2 linked regions of the Schizosaccharomyces pombe genome follow. The gene in region 2 interacts genetically with the main gene of each other region. Each region holds a gene or a part of one and is shown on either strand. Other genes may lie near its edges.

What was found. A genetic interaction does not mean that the proteins touch.
Region 1: mutations in amt1 (region 2) and prp24 together harm fitness more than expected from each alone (negative genetic interaction), as found in Schizosaccharomyces pombe (one large-scale study listed by BioGRID).

The regions. Positions count from the first base shown.
Region 1 is NC_003423.3:4,133,588-4,141,086, forward strand, and holds prp24 (RNA-binding protein Prp24), read right to left. Parts: upstream 5,652-7,499; 5' UTR 5,621-5,651; coding exon 5,389-5,620; exon of another isoform or gene 5,265-5,388; coding exon 4,999-5,264; exon of another isoform or gene 4,941-4,998; coding exon 2,394-4,940; 3' UTR 2,373-2,393; downstream 1-2,372. Other genes in the region: naa35 (NatC N-acetyltransferase complex subunit Mak10), read left to right, coding at 132-1,826, 1,872-2,303; SPOM_SPBC1861.05 (carbohydrate kinase), read left to right, coding at 6,964-7,499.
Region 2 is NC_003421.2:2,063,964-2,072,774, forward strand, and holds amt1 (plasma membrane ammonium transmembrane transporter Amt1), read left to right. Parts: upstream 1-5,015; 5' UTR 5,016-5,842; coding exon 5,843-7,336; 3' UTR 7,337-7,744; downstream 7,745-8,811. Other genes in the region: wtf meiotic drive antidote-like Wtf21, read left to right, coding at 489-627, 795-1,040, 1,088-1,333, 1,370-1,561, 1,602-1,664, 1,715-1,818. UniProt on the Schizosaccharomyces pombe protein: Transporter for ammonium to use as a nitrogen source. Under ammonium limitation acts as an ammonium sensor, generating a signal that leads to pseudohyphal growth.

The sequences.
Region 1 (7,499 bases), on a different chromosome or scaffold from region 2:
GAAAATGTTATTGAACAAGCATTTTTATGCGTGGAATTTTTGTTGTGACTTACAGAGTAACACTTTTCATTAACCCATAAACTAGACGTTCAATAGAAAATTGGTCAATATAGGGGTGTTTTGTCGATTTTATGTCTGTTAAAGAGTCCCTATCATTGCTTAATTCTATGCAAGGAAATGTGAAGATTGGAAATGTGGAACCGGCCAAAGGGAACGAAGGTTATGTTGATAACGCTGGATATGTCGACTGTACAAAGTCTTACTTTGAAGCCACGAAATCTCTGAAAGAGGAACAGCTAGTATGTGATCCAAAATTTACATTATTGGATTCAATCAGTGCCTTTGAAATTATGGAACCGAAAATGGATAGTGGGATTGATTATCAGCCACTTCGTGTAGATTTTTCACGTGATCTCTCTTACTTGGAAATATTAGCGTTAATGGATTTAATTGTCTCTGCGGAAAAAGAGTGGCATTATGGATCCCCCTTATCAGAGAGCTTACTCTGTAGTGCCCATGTGTTCTCCATTTGCAAGTCGCCTATTTCACAAGTGGGTGACAGTGGCTTCTCCAGTGGTAGCGGAAGGAATACAACTGACATCGTTCTTTTCCCTTTTGTTTTGGCTGTTATTAAATGTTGCGATATTGTTCATCGAGAATTTCTGATGGGAAATTTATATGACGAGGAAGACATTAGTTCGTTTTCATATCACATGTCCTTTCTTCAAAATTACCCCATAGAAAAACTCAATTATCTTTTGCAATCTAGCATCGAATATTTGGCTTCCGAGGTTATAAAATTTTCTGCCGAGTTACGACAAATTATCGAGGGAATTCTCAATAGAATACAACTTCGAATTGGTATTTTACGAGTGTATGAAAGGAGTGATATTAAGACCACCATCGATGCTCTCCATCTGATCAAAAATTTGGTACCCGAGATTCAGAACACGGTTTCGGTAGTTGATTCATCTATCAAGGAGAGCATATTAAAGCAATATTGGGATTTTCGCGTCCAAGCCCAATTAGTTGCTACAGCTCCTGTGAGGAATATTCCTCCTACTGGCATTGAGCATTCTTATCAACGAATTTTGTATTTTGCTGATGATATGCTTTTGATTTTGAATAGCCACACTCTCGCTTCTTCCTTGGCAGTATATCAGTTTTGTTTAGATTTTACGAGATTGAATCGTACTCCAGAGCCTTACGTCCGTTCCTCCCTTCAAGCACTTATCACTGCTAACAATGCAGTTAATCTAAGGGATCAACCTACTTCGTATATGTTAGAATGTATTCGTGAGTTTTCTGGGCTTCCTTCAAATTTTTATAATCCTAACACCCGTACAGTAATCGAAAAAAACTCTATCTCATCAGCCTATGGTCCGCTAGTTGAGTCTTTGATTGCTCATTCAACTAATATCATGGTTGACCTTGTCCGAATTTGTTCCCACAATCCCTGTCGGTTCCGCCGTAATCTAATAAATTTACTTCCTGAAATTACCGTTGCTCATTTTGAAGCTGAAGCGCTTGATTTGAAATTCGTAGCAAAAAGCCTACCAAGTAATGGACCGTTTTCATCATTTATTTACCATGTTAAGCTAAATGCAATTGAGCATATCTTGCTTTCTTCCTTTGAACAAAAACTTCACCAACCATATCAATGGCCCCATTTTTTTGCTGTGCTTGATCATGTCTTTTCTATCCACCAGACTCATTTAGAGCTTCATGGAAAGGATCGTAATACCCCACCTATGGCCAAAACCTTTGTTACATATTTGCATCGAATATTGAATGCTATAAAGGAGACCTATTCTGGCTATTTACTAGTATGTATAAAGCTTATCGCTTCTTTTTTATTCTAACGATTTTAGCTGACGGTGCTTTGTATGCGGTTGAATATCATTAAAACTCCTTCATTTACTCTTGATGAAAAAATTCAAGAGTCATATTACATGGCCCATTATCGTCCTTTAATTAATTTGCGTCAACCCAAGCCACTACTTCGTTCGGAAGCTGATTGCATAATCAAAAATCTTCAAAATTTCTCTACGGATGATTTAATCATCAAATCTAATGAAAAATTCACTGCTGCAAAGAATAGCCTTATTAATGTTATAAAATCCGGTTTTGAACAGAATGAGTTCATCAACCCGTATTTCTTGCAAACCAACTATTTAAAAAATTTATTATGTTGCTGCATTACAAATCTGGTTTCACTTGCAATCTTATCCAAAGATCATAGTGCTAATCTAAAAATAGTGGAAATACCTGGAAATCCGCTCCCAAGTCTTTCACGTACATGAGGTGTTGTTCGTCTTTTATGTTAATAAATCAAAATTATCAAAAGTTAGGTTTTCAATATTTTTTTAATCATTCAATCTAATTATTGCTGACTATTTTAAAAACATTTTCCTAAAATCATCGTTGCTTTTAGGTGCATCTATCTGCATTTCTTTATCGTCTAAATCGTCCTTCTTAGAATTTATATTGGAATGATTGGAATTGAAACCTTGAAACGTTCGGCTTCCGAGTCGCCGTGGGCGTGTAGCAGAGGTATTGTAATCGGAATGATTCATACTAGATGGGACATTGTGCATCATTTCATTGACAGTGGTAATGTGTAGTAACCTGCCACCAATTTCATGTCCTTCTAATGCCAAGGATGCCTTTCCCGCATCATGAATATCCAAAAACTCTACTACAGCACCTTCATGTTCAGGATGAAGAACAACTCTATACAACTTTCCGTAGCTTTCGAATAAACTTCTAAGTCTAGCCTCGTTAACAGTCCCGTCGACATTAGTGACTCCTAGGCTTTTGCTTTTGATTTGTTCGAATGATTTTTTTGGCGTTGACATTTTATTTGACTCAGTAGTCTCAAAGCTTTTAGCTAAGGTTCGGTTGTCATTGGATGATACCCTTGTTTTCTCTAGAGATTCTCGAGGCTTCGACAAAACAACGTTCAAAACTCTATTTCCCAATTGCTTTCCAGCAGCAGAAAGTGCATTTTCAGCATCTTGATTTGTAGTCATTACCACATATCCAAAACCTTTATGTTGATTAAATCTTTTCGGTATTCGAACACTCTCAACCTGCCCATAATCCCTAAAAAATGTTTCTACGTCTTTTTCATTTACTTTAAAATCAATATTTGTAACGTAGAGTTCTCTACCCTCATAGACAGCACCGCTTCTAGGAGTTCGCCGAAGCGGGTCTGATATAAAGACTTGAATAGGATACTTCTCTTCCAATAGCTTCTTATGTAACTGCAGGGCATTGTGTGCCTCATCGGGCTTTCTCATTTGTACATAACAAAAACGCCTGTTCGTGTTATACCTTAGACTAGGAAAACGGACGTCAACCACATTACCATATGCAGAAAATAATTTGGTTATATCTAATTCATCATAAGTCGGAGGAAAATTGGTAACGTAGAGGTTCGTGTCTACATGAATTTGAACAGAAATTTCATGACCCCTTATCGATTTAAGGTCTCTTGTTTTAGCAGCAAGAACTTCACTGGTTTCAGAAAATTCAATCTGAGCCACTTTAACATCCTTTTGATTGTCTTCGAGGATAAAAATGCGTATAATATTACCACAATCTTTGAAAAAAATTTTCAACTCATTTTCGCTTATATCGGAAGGTAGATTGGTAACCAAAACTGTAAGTTCTTCCCTATTCCTGTGTTGCTCAATAGGTTTCGACTTTTTGAACACATCACCTTCTTGCCCAGGTTTTCTTTTCTTTGAAAGGGCGGCTGTATCATCAGCTTGAGGCACTTTTAGTGGTTCGGTGTTTTCGACAGTCTGCTTCGTTTCTTCAGCAAAAGAATCCAATTGACGTTTGAAGCTAATCCTCTGTGCATTTAAAACGTCATATAAATGTGATGTGTTTGTGAAACAGTCATTATTAAGGTCCATAATGGATTGATAAAATTGGAACAGAAGTTGAGGCTGATCAACGTTTTTGTAAAGGCTTTTTTTTAACGTCTCAGCCGCAAGCTCTGGGTTATACTTCATCGTACTTATGTATCGAGAAATCCAATATAATGCCTGATTTTGAAAATCATGAAACATATCAGACCAGCACTTTTCTACGCTTTCAAAATCAGAGATTTCTGAATATAAATAAATTTTTGAAAGTTCAATGCGCATTCTTGCATCCTTTGATCCCTTATGATTTTTTCGCAAATAGTCTTCGACTTTATGAATTTGATGTTTCAAAAATTCCTGTGGCTTATCTTCATTAGAAGACAAATATAGGCATGCTTTTAAAAATCCGCTAAAAAAATCAATAACCTCGTCAAAATTTACGAGCAAATTTGAATTCAAACATCGATCTTTCTCTTCACAGACAGCCGATGTGGATGCTCCAGAAAGCGTCATATAAGTCAGTTTAATGGACCAAATACGCCCAATCCATGAACAGTTACGAGTAGCTCGTTCTGCTACACTGGACGCTTGAGAAGAAGAAAAATCCACTTTACTAAGCCAGGCAGTGTATTGCAACCAGAGTTCCGGAATGAGGGGATACAAAACTATGGCACGCTCATAGAGAGTTGTTATATATTGTAACTCAGCTGTTGAGCGTCGCGATTCATCATTAATTAAATCCATATACGCTTCGAGAGAATGATTTGCGCTGTTTAACAATAGTTCTTTATTAAAAATTTTTGCATTTCTTTTAAGTGTAGTCTCATACACTTTATTGCTTTTCACCATAACATCCTCATATTCGGAAGGAGACCAGTTATTTGTGACAAACGTTGATAAAGAAGTAAACGTTTCTTCAATCTGCTCATGTGGAAGTTTTAATCTATCAATATGAAAATCATATATCTTGTTTTTAAAAACAATTTCTTGCTCTTCTTCTCCCTCAAATAGAGCATCACCGAACGTCTGTAAAAATTCCAAATATAACGTCCAAACACATTGACTCTGTAAACATTGATTAGTAAATACATTTTTATCATGAAGAAAATTTTTAGTTCCTTACTTTAGAAAAATGAAATTTGCAAGTTTGGTATGCACGTTCAAAAAGAGAATGGGCATCTGTCAAAGTAATAACGCCGTTTAATTCAGACTGTTCTTGTTCAAAAGAAGAAGTGTCCATTAAGTTTAGCGTAAATTCAAGATACATACACCAAATTTTGATTGACAGATAATCTTGAACTGCCAAATCAAACAATGTTTTTATCCTCACATAGTCGTCTAAAGTCCTACAGTTTTTGCACTCATCTAAAAGGTAATCTACCCACAAATCTAAAAACCATTAATAAATGCTTGTCAAAAGATTAACAAAGTTAAAGTAATTAGTGAATAATTTTTGCGAGTCTATGGAATTCGCCTCAACACGCTTTACCTAGACGATTGTTGATTGACATACCTTCTGAAAGTGGAAAGATCGATTGAAAAGTCTTTCTAGCCTCTGACAACTCCTTCTTTTTATCTAGACGCTTTAACTCTTCAATGAGTTTAATATGACTATCATAATTATAGGGATGTAAAATCGTAAATTTGGTCAATTCATCCAGAAGCAAAGGCTTTTTTTCGTTTTGTTCTTGTGGATCAATATCCATTTCGACATTCTCATCTTTTAAATCTTGTATTTGACTCATTTCGTCAAAACCGACGAAGACTAGGCTTTTGCTGGGTTCCTTAGGTAAATGTCATGCGTATAATGTCAAGTAAATTTCAAGATAAACACTAAAGTCTTAAAAAACAAGGGGAAGTTAAATGGAAAAAAGTAAAAAAGCAATTCGTTAAAATACTAGAAAATATTAAACAATCTAGGTTGATCCTAATATACAAGGCACATTGTTAAAAGGGAGAAAGAGATTAAAAGATTGAATAATAAAACTTGTAAAAATATGCTTCAGAACAAGATAGCACTACTTAGTTTGCTGTTAATATCTTTTAGTCATAGACCTAAGTTCAACCATTTTATGAAGTGATACATTTTTTCCTGAAGGAGGGAATTAACAACAATAGTTTGTAAACAGATATACATTTGTTTTATTATAGTAAACTTGTCTGTCAATTGGATTATGTGAATATGGTAAAACTCAAAAGTCTGGCAAATCTTGATCCTTATTTTATCTTTTCTGTAAAAATGATAGTAATATAATTTTTTGGGTAAAGTAATTTTACACTTCAGTCAGCTTAAAAACCTCTTAGTACTTAGAATAAAAATATAGTAAATAATGTAAAATTCTTTTATAAAAATAATGAAACAATTCGACAAATTAAGCCATGCAAACATCATAAAAAATTCAGTTCCTTTCAGAAGAATGAATATTTATACTTTAATCAGAACATGGTTTCACAATTAAACACAATAGATAAAAAAGGGTCATGGCATTGGTTTCCTGGATAAAAGAAGTTCTTTTTTAAATAGAGTTGCATTTTATTGCAACTCCATTCAAAATTCAAGTCTATTGCTTTAATATGAATTGTTTTCGACACCAAAATAAATAAAAGAATTCAAAAAAAAACTCAATTCCAAGTTTTGTATCAGTAAATTCGGAGCGCCGGCAAAGTATTCAGTTTGCCTGCTCTCCTTTTATTTACATTTTACTATAAAGTTATCTTGACATATATCGGCGAAGTAACATTTTTTGTGATCGGCTTTTCCATGGGGAAAGCGTACATTTATTATCAGACACCACCATGTTTAGATATGATTTGCCGAGGTAGATTATATATAAAAAACGTCGTCTGATCGTTCTGGCATTTTCATTTTTTGTTCCTTAAACTTTTATTCCTAATAGTATACGTCCTTTTTAAATCTCAATTTTGGGTTAACTTTATTCCACTCATTCTTTTTACGTTTATTAGATACGCGGAGTGAGCGCGTATAGTACGATTTATTCACGATTTTAATATTATCTGATATACGCTTTCTTCGTTTGTCCTATATTATTTACCTATTTATCACTATTTTTCTTAGCATCTTGCTTATATGCTCATCGTTATGAATAGAGGTTGTCGGTTAGTTTCACGTATTCCATTGGGGTTCAGAAGGCTGAAGAGAAATCCAAACCCTGGATTGAGGAATATACTTTGCAGAAGATATAGTCCGCTGGCCTTATCCAAGGAAGTGACAGAAGCCCTTAAAAACAACGTACCAGTCGTTGCCTTAGAATCAACTATCATCACTCATGGAATGCCTTATCCTCAAAATGAAGAATTGGCAATTCAAGTGGAAAGCAAGGTACGCAGCATGGGTGCGGTTCCTGCGACAATTGCTCTATTAAATGGACAATGTACTATAGGGCTTGAACAATTTCAGTTAAGCGAACTTGCTAAATCAGGTGAAACAGCATATAAAGTGTCTCGTAGAGATTTATCTTATGTTGCTTCCCAGAGACTCAATGGTGGAACCACAGTTGCTGCAACTATGATCTTGGCTAGAGCAGCTGGCATTGACGTATTCGCAACGGGCGGTATAGGTGGTGTTCATCGTGGGGCAGAAAATTCCATGGATATTTCTGCGGA
Region 2 (8,811 bases):
AACCTCATTCCTCAGTTCAGTTATGAGTTATATCGGTGACCGATACTAATAGACTTCTTATAACAATAAATATAATATTGTTAGTTAACATACCGCTTACCGCTATGTTGTAAGTCGCTAGAAATCTCGCCGCAGTGCTATGTATCGTTAAAGCAGATACCAAATTGCGTACTGACATTATAATTATACTACAACGTTTTGCTTCTCAAAAACGTTTAAGGAAATCTAAGTTGGGGTGAATAAAAAGGGCAGTGACAAAATAAATGTGTCAGAAGCAATTACATTAAAATGAGTTTTGGAATTCTACTTTTCACTTGCTATTATTGAAAAAACAGTTTGCTTTGAAACGAGTATTATTCATTTATTTATGTTGAACAGCTGAAATTGAACTCCAGAGCGAATATTCTTGATTTTGCTGTTTCGTTTGTCGCAATCATAGCAATTAATTCGCGCATGTGTTTTATTAAATAAAGAATGATCTTGATGAAATGAAGAATAATTACACTTCTTTGAAAAGTCCTCTAGATGAAGAAGATGAATTGAAGACAGATCATGAAATCGATTTGGAAAAAGGACCACTCCCAGAATATGATTCGGAGGAAGAGGGCGCATTACCTCCATATTCAGGTAAGAATTGTAAACAATAAGAAAGGAATTACTCAATGGAAAGTTGAAACTTGCCATCTTGTCAAATTGCATGCTTTGGTCATTGTTTACAGTCGGCCATGCAATGCACACAATTTGATACATGCTCTTTCTTTACTAAAGTATTTCAATCATATTAATTTAAACAGATCACGCACTTGTAAATAATCCTCCTAACACACATAGAGAAAACAATCCTTCCAGGTCGACAGATAATTCTTCCCCTTTCTTGATAAAACTGCTAATATCATTCACACCAATCTATGTACTGAATGTACTCGCAATTTGTTATCTAACGTATAAGGACGCTTTCTTTAAGGATTATGGTGCAGCAGAATGGACATTATTTGGATTTTGGTGTCTTGTTTGCACTTTGGCTTTAATATTCTTGACTTGTAAGTGAGACAATGGGTAATCTTACCTTCAGTCACTAACTCATTAGACTTCTATGAAACTTGGGTCAAGGCAGTTAAAGTAACTGTAATTTCCTTGGCAAAATGTGTAAAGGTGATTTCTATTGGCCTTTTCAACATAAGAAGAGAGATGATGATTATAATTTGGATACTCTGGCTAATCATTTGTTGTATACTCTTCGTTTACATCAAATCCGGCGATCTAATCTTAAACAAGGCACTCATCTGTTCTACATGCACTATTTCGGCTGTTTTACTTTTAATTGTATCATCTGGTAAGTGAAGTTACAATGCTAAACGCTGATAAACAGTTTGTATTCCATTTTGGACATTCGAGCGTACGTTGGCTAAGTTGGCAAAAGTGCTTTTGTTACAAAGTGGTATCGTGTTGGTACTAAACGGTACGATGTTTTTACGTGGTAAACATTTTGAACGGATAGGTTGTGAAATTGAAGCCTCTGTGTTATTTATTATGGGCAATGTTCTTTTTCTTTGCGAAATGGGTTCGTTAAATATTGCTTTACTTTATTCTAACCATGCCAGAATGTCCAGGTGCACTCATAAGAACACGAAACTCTATCAGGAATGGTATAGCTTTTATATTAGGTATGTGTATTCAACCAACTGTATGAATGATTTTTTACTTACCCGACTAGGAGGGATAGGAAATGCGATGATGGGGCTAGCAAATGCGATTAGAGGTGCCAACGATAATAATGACATTCCCTTGGGGGAAATGGATGTTGAAAGCGAAGTCTAGTTGCATTATTAATGTTGTGCTTCCGAACATCTCTATAATTGGAAAACTTTCTTTACGAAAATGGCCAACGCAAAAAAGCATATAAGCGATAGTTCATATTTTCCAGCTTTATCGCATTATATTTTTAACACATTCTTTTAAGTGTCACTAAGTTGTTTGTCCGATGTATTTACCTGAAAAATTTTAGTAAAATTTGAATGACAATTGAATGCAGTACTGCGAGATGATTTGATAATGAAATCAGAAAAGTTGAAGTTGGATTGGATATTTTTAATACTTTTTTTTTAAATTATTTTTGCAGTGTTTCATGAAATTTTGCTTTTAATGAGTCAAGATTAATTCCAACTATTTTCCTTTTTTAATAATAGCATTTGAATGTGTATAGGGTGCGGGACGTTAGTTCATCACATATTAAATACACTTTGATTGATGTTCCTTGTGTCCTACCATATCAACTGTCTTGTAGGAAAGGTCCATGATTTTTTTTTTAATGGTCAATCAATATTTTTAGGATGTCAACAAGATATCGTATAGTATCATAGCTATGCGGAAATCGCTCATTTACTGACTAAGGAATAGAGGTCAAAAGAGCTGGATTTGCAGGAACGCTAGTCGACAAAATAGATGTTAAAATCTTATGATCATAGTATGATGATTATCAGTATCATCCCATAACACTGTTCTTTGAAGAAAAGAAGCCAAGGATGAATAGTGGTGGTTAGCGATGCAAAGAAATGGGCGACAAAGTGTCAAATTCTTTCACTTTTTATAGCCAAACAACGACAAAACGTTTGTGCAAAAGGAATTGAAATGAAAAATAAAATAGAACAAAATAAAATAATTAATAAATAAGGCTCGAATCCTCAATGCTATTTGTTTTCAGTCTCCACGAAAAAGGTCGAGAAGGTTTTATTTTTTAAATTTGATACTTTTTAAAAGGATACATTGATGCATCGCGTAAAGAGCAAATAGTGTGACAATCCCAACTTGTTTTTTTAAGCGTTTATGCTTCTATTGTCGTTGCTCCGCTGCAACCTTTTTTGTGATAGAATACTCCCAGTACGTTACCTTACCAAAATTTAGAAATAAGGAATAAAGGATTGATACACTGCATTGTCTTATAAGGAGATATTGTAGGAGCGGTAGGGAGAAGAAGGAAAAGATGTGTGGATTGGAAAAAGGGAAGAAAAGAGTAAAGGAAAATGGAATGAATAAATAAATAGAATTGACGACAATTTTAGTAGTGAAAGCGGTTAGAAGGGAGGAAAAGGATTAGAAAGAAAAAGTAGAAAGCGTATTATGAAGTATTATTTTGAAGATTGAAGAATGCATTTTCTAAGTTGCTTGAGTTTACTTTATTAGGGATTGTATTGCACTTGCACTTGGGATCAGGAGTAGGATTGGCATTAGGATTAGAATAGGATTTGGGATTCCTCTTTGATCAAAAATAAATAAAAAATAAAAAATTAGAAAACTTCTAGTGCTCTCGCCAGAACTAGAACTTTTTCATGCAACGGAACGAGATGAACGGAGAAATGCGGAACCAAGATGAAGCAAGACAACAAGTCGATTAACAATGAAAGAAAAAAATATCAATATAGTCGGAAAACAAAAAGATGATTGATTAATAAGGAAAGTATGAGAAGGAGGCGGTAATTTTGCAAGCGTTTCAATTGCAATGATATTACAAATTCAAAGTAATAAAATGATAAACATACATAAACAAAAATAAACATAAATTAAAAAATAAAAAAATAAAAAATCGAAAACCAAAAAAAAAAAAATTTATTAAAAAAAAAAAAAAAAGACAAGAACAAACAAACAAGCAGATAGGGAAGTGGAAAATTACAAATAAAATTTAAAAAAACAGGGGAAGAAAAGTCAAATCAAGGTAGAGATGAATGATTCATCATGTTAGCGTTTGACAAATTAAAGATCAAAGAATTTATTAGAGATGATAAACAAGGGCAGAGCTGATTAGATGAAAGAACGATGGAGAGAAAAGAGAGAGGAGAGAAGATTAAAGAGAGAGAAAAGAAAAAAAAAAGAAAGAAATTAAAAAAAAAAAAAAAAAAAAAAAAAAAAAAAGGAAAATTAAATGAATATCCTCTTTTTTGCATGTCTCTTTCTCTTCTCTCTCTCTTCCTTCTTTTCTCCCTCCTTCTCTCTCTCCCTGCCTTCCTTTCACATACGAATATTAAACTACTTCCATGTATCCGAACGGGATCGTCGCAGGACACTATGGATAGGCCGGACGAAACAAAAGAAAAGGAAAAAGAAGAAAAACAACCGTCATAACAAGGATGAGGAGCCGATCGAACGACAAAACATTATCAAAGCGATTCCAGAGATTCCTTTAATAGCAATTTATCAACTAGCACAAATCATAGTTGCACATAACATATATCAACTAAGCACACAACATATTCCATACTAGCTAGCATATCATATATTATACTACCACATACCCTACCCTACCCTACCCTACCTCCTGCGAAACCAAGCCATATCAATAATGCCTTTTGCCTTTGACTTTGAAACGTCAAAAACAATGGAAAATTGAAATTTTTTTTTTCTGTTTTTTTGAATGAATGAATGAATAAACTGTTGAAGTATATTTTCATAGCATCTCTTTTTTTATTTTTTATTTTTTTTATTTTTCATCTTTCTATTTCCATTTCCATTTCTATTTCTACTTCTACTTGTTTTCTTCTTTCTCTCCTTTCTACTGTCTTTTTTCTCTCTCTTTAATCTTCTCTCCTCTCTCTCTACTTTTGTCTTTGTCATTGTCATTGCCTTGTTGCTCGCCCGCCGAAACAGCTCTTGTCACCTTTACACCACCCTTACATCGTTACCCATTCTAAACTCTGTTCGGTTGATTTCGGTTACAGAGTCGTCCGATTGGTTAAGGAATTTGTTCTTTTATCGTTAAATACCCTTATCTCGTTACCTATTGCCCACTAAAGCTTTAAGTTAATCTCTTTACATAATCATTGCTCGCCTTTGGTCCAATCATTGCGTCGGATATAGATCTCTGCTTATCTCGATCGTTACTTTGAACCAATCATTAAAAATATTGCTGTCCAATTGCGTCCTTGCATTTTTGCCGTTATCAAACTTGATAACCACCAGATTTTAGGGATGCTTAGAATCTGCGCGCATATAAAACCGCCGACTCTCTCCCCTACCGTACGGTTGAGACGCGGATAACCAACGTTGGCCTATTTCACCCTGCACCTTAAATCTAACGATATTCCAACCTTAGAGCATATCTTGACGCCTGACTTGCAGTGCATCTCTTTAACTTGAATTTTACGCATTTCTTGCTCTTGTGCGTGCATATTTGCTAGCTAGGTAGTTTACAAATTCAAATTTCTCTATATTTGTTTTTGTTTTATTCTTTCATTCATACTTCCAGTCTGTTGGATTCGCTGGTTCAATTTTTGTTCTCGTTGTTGATACGTGCATTTACATTTACATCTGCTTCTGCTTTAGCGTGCATTTGTTTATTTTATCGTCATCGGTTTTTGGGTGGTTGATACAGTTTTCTTTTTTTTGTTTTGTAATAGAAGAAAGAAAAAAATTTGAAAAACAAAAATAATTCAAAGTTCAAAGGAAAAGAAGAATAATTTAATTCCTTTTTTTTTTCTCTTTATTAATTTTACTTATTTTCTCGAAATTTGATTTTTCTTCTTTTCGAGTGTTTTTCTTCTTCTTTTCTCCCCAATATTCAAATATCGATCCCCTAATTTCTTCTTGGTCGTTCGATATATATATAATTTGTTGTGTTTTCTTTTTATCGTTTGGGTCCTTGATTTCCTAGGTGTTTTTTTTTTTTTGTCTCTATAGAAAAATTCCTTCCATTTATACATACCTTATTAGTCTCGATACTATTTTATTTTACTTTTACTTTTCTTCTTTTCGCCAACAAACCTCTTTTGTTTGTAATTTTTTTAATCCCCTTTATTTTGGGTTGTGTTGGTCTCTCTTCATTTCTTAATAGATAGACAAGACTTCTTGAATCATGTCTTCCACTACCGATGCCACTCCCACCCCTTCGGGTGTCAATGGCGGTGATTCCATGACCGTCAATCTTAATCAATTTTACAATAATGGTGATGTTGCCTGGATTCTCACAAGTACCGCTTTGGTGTTTATCATGATTCCCGGTGTCGGTTTCTTTTACTCCGGCTTGGCTCGTCGTAGAAGTGCCATTTCTATGCTGTTTTTGTCAATGATGTCTGTCGCCATTGTTGCCTTTCAGTGGTTCTTTTGGGGTTATTCGCTTACTTTCTCTCACGAGGGTGGTCCATACATCGGATCCCTCGCCAATTTCGGTCTTCGCCAAACGTTGGGTAGACCTTCTTCCGGTGCTTCCAGTGTACCCGACATCTTGTTTTGCGTGTTCCAAGGTATGTTTGCCGCCATTACTCCCGCTTTGGCTATCGGTGCTGCCGCTGATCGCGGTCGCATGTTTCCCTGTATGGTCTTCATGTTTCTCTGGACTTCCATCGTCTACGACCCAATCGCCTTTTGGACTTGGAATCCTAATGGTTGGTTGAACAAGTTGGGCTCTTACGATTTCGCTGGTGGCTCTCCCGTTCACATCTCCTCCGGTATGGCTGCTTTGGCTTATTCCATCGTAATTGGAAAGCGTTGTGACCATGGTACTACCAAATATCGCCCACACAACGTTCCCCACGTCGTTCTTGGCACCGTATTTTTGTGGTTTGGTTGGTTCGGCTTTAACGGTGGTTCTTCCGCTGCTGCCAACATGCGTGGTGTCATGGCTGTCGTCGTTACACATCTTGCTGCTTCTGTTGGTGGTATTGTTTGGTGTGTTATCGATTTTGCCAAGAACCGTCACTGGTCTGTCGTCGGCTTCTGTGAAGGTGCCGTCGCTGGTTTGGTCGCCATTACTCCTGGCTCCGGTTTCGTTCCTCCATGGGCTGCCGTCGTCATTGGTGCTTTAGGCGCTGTCTTCTGCTATGCTGCTACTTACCTTAAGAAAATCATCCGTGTCGATGATGCCTTGGATATCTTTGCTGAACATGGTGTTGGTGGTATGGTTGGCAATATCCTTACCGCTCTTTTTGCCGCTGATTACATTGAAGCTTTGGATGGTAGTGGTACTGCTTACACTGGTGGTTGGATTACTCACCATTACATTCAACTTGGTTATCAGCTTGCAGACACTGTCTCTTGTGCCGCATATTCATTCGCTGTCTCATGTGCACTCTTGTTTGTTATGAATTACATTCCAGGACTTTCACTTCGTGTTTCACGCGAGGATGAGGTTCTCGGTTTGGATAAGATTGAACTTGGTGAAAGTGCATATTATTACAAAGACTCTACTGACGAGCCTCCCCCAATCACTACAAGTGGCGTTCAATACACTTCTCCAACTGTTAGCGATTCCGCATCCAACGAAAAGGAGCAAGAACACAGAGCTCAAAATGAGGCTCAAAAGGAAGAGGAGTATAGAGCTGAATCTGAGGCTCAAGCTCCGGCTATTTAGGTTGGCTGTTTCTTCCCTTAATCTCGCATATGCTATTTTTTAATTATAGTTTTTCCCTAAAATTCCCCTTTCCCGTCTTTCCTGCTTCCGTTGTATTTATTTTCCACCGCTTAAAATTGATATTGTTTTACGAGAAGTGAGAGAGAATTTTGTCTTTTTTTCTTGCTCTTTTCAATGTGTGCTCCCCTTTGTATGATTTGCTCGCCCTCCCGTTTTGTTTTTTTTTTTACAAATTATTTATAGTTAATTTTGTAAACTGCTTTTTTTTTTTGGTTCCTTTAATTCCGAAGACGACGTTCATGTTAGTTTTCGCATGTGATAATAAGTTGTATTCGTTTCAAAAAAATATCTGCTTCAAGATGTCAACCGTACTGTCATTCATTCTTGTTAATAAAATGTGTTAGGAACATTAAGTTTGCTTTTGAAGAAAATTTGTAAAGTAGTTTGGTTGTGAGTTAACTTGTCAGTATAGTTTTCTTTTATTTTATGTCCTCAATTAAGTTGTGAATTATTTTTCTGTATTTTCTCGTTTCGTTCATTCGTAGAAGTTACTACTATCTGCTTACAAAATAGGTTCTGTGCTTAATATAAATGTCTCCATCCAGCCTTGCAACACAAACGTCCTTGGAAAGAGTTCTCATAAAAGCTGAATTCCAGTAACAACTTCAAAAAACTGATTGTAAAAGTGCTTTTGCTCTGTTGTTCATGGCAATTAAATATAATTTCCTTTCATTTAATATCCACATTATATATTATTTAACTCGGTCTCAATGCCAAGAAGACAACGTGGCCGAGTGGTTTTAAGGCGTTCGCCTGCTATTCTGTAGCCCAGCGGATTCCCTTTGGGAGCGCAGGTTCGAATCCTGCCGTTGTCGACATATACTTATTATTTATTTTTCGCAAATGAGCCTTTACCAGCCATTTACATTTTTTTATATCTATCAGTAGCTAAAACAATTCCTCCCGAATAGTCAGTCAGTTTGGGGCTGTACTGATAAACAAGTTAGTAGTGTAAATTGCAAGAGATCGTTACAATCGCTTTCTTTTTTACCAATATTACAGAGCTGGTGAATATACGAAAGTTTAAGACTAAATTTCTAATTTATTATAAGCCTATTCAATCATCAACATCCAGCAAATTTCTTCAATATATCTGAAAAGACGACTAGCCTATTTTTTTTCTTAGCTGACACTTTCCATCTGCTTCAATGTTTTTGTGAACTCGCTTATATTTGGTTAACACTGTAAGCACGATGTACGCTAAATATCACAACGTAACGTTAAAGGACGCGACGCGAATTTAATTTATTCACAGCTAGAACAAACAAGACGCTAAGATAAAGATTGGCGAAGTGTCGCTTACTACACTGGTTTCCAGCACCTTTGTTCGCAGAATTGTTTAAAATAAAGAGTGTATGATGAAAAAGAATCTGTGGTATTTTGAATTCAACTACTCCTACTCTTCTCTACTTATT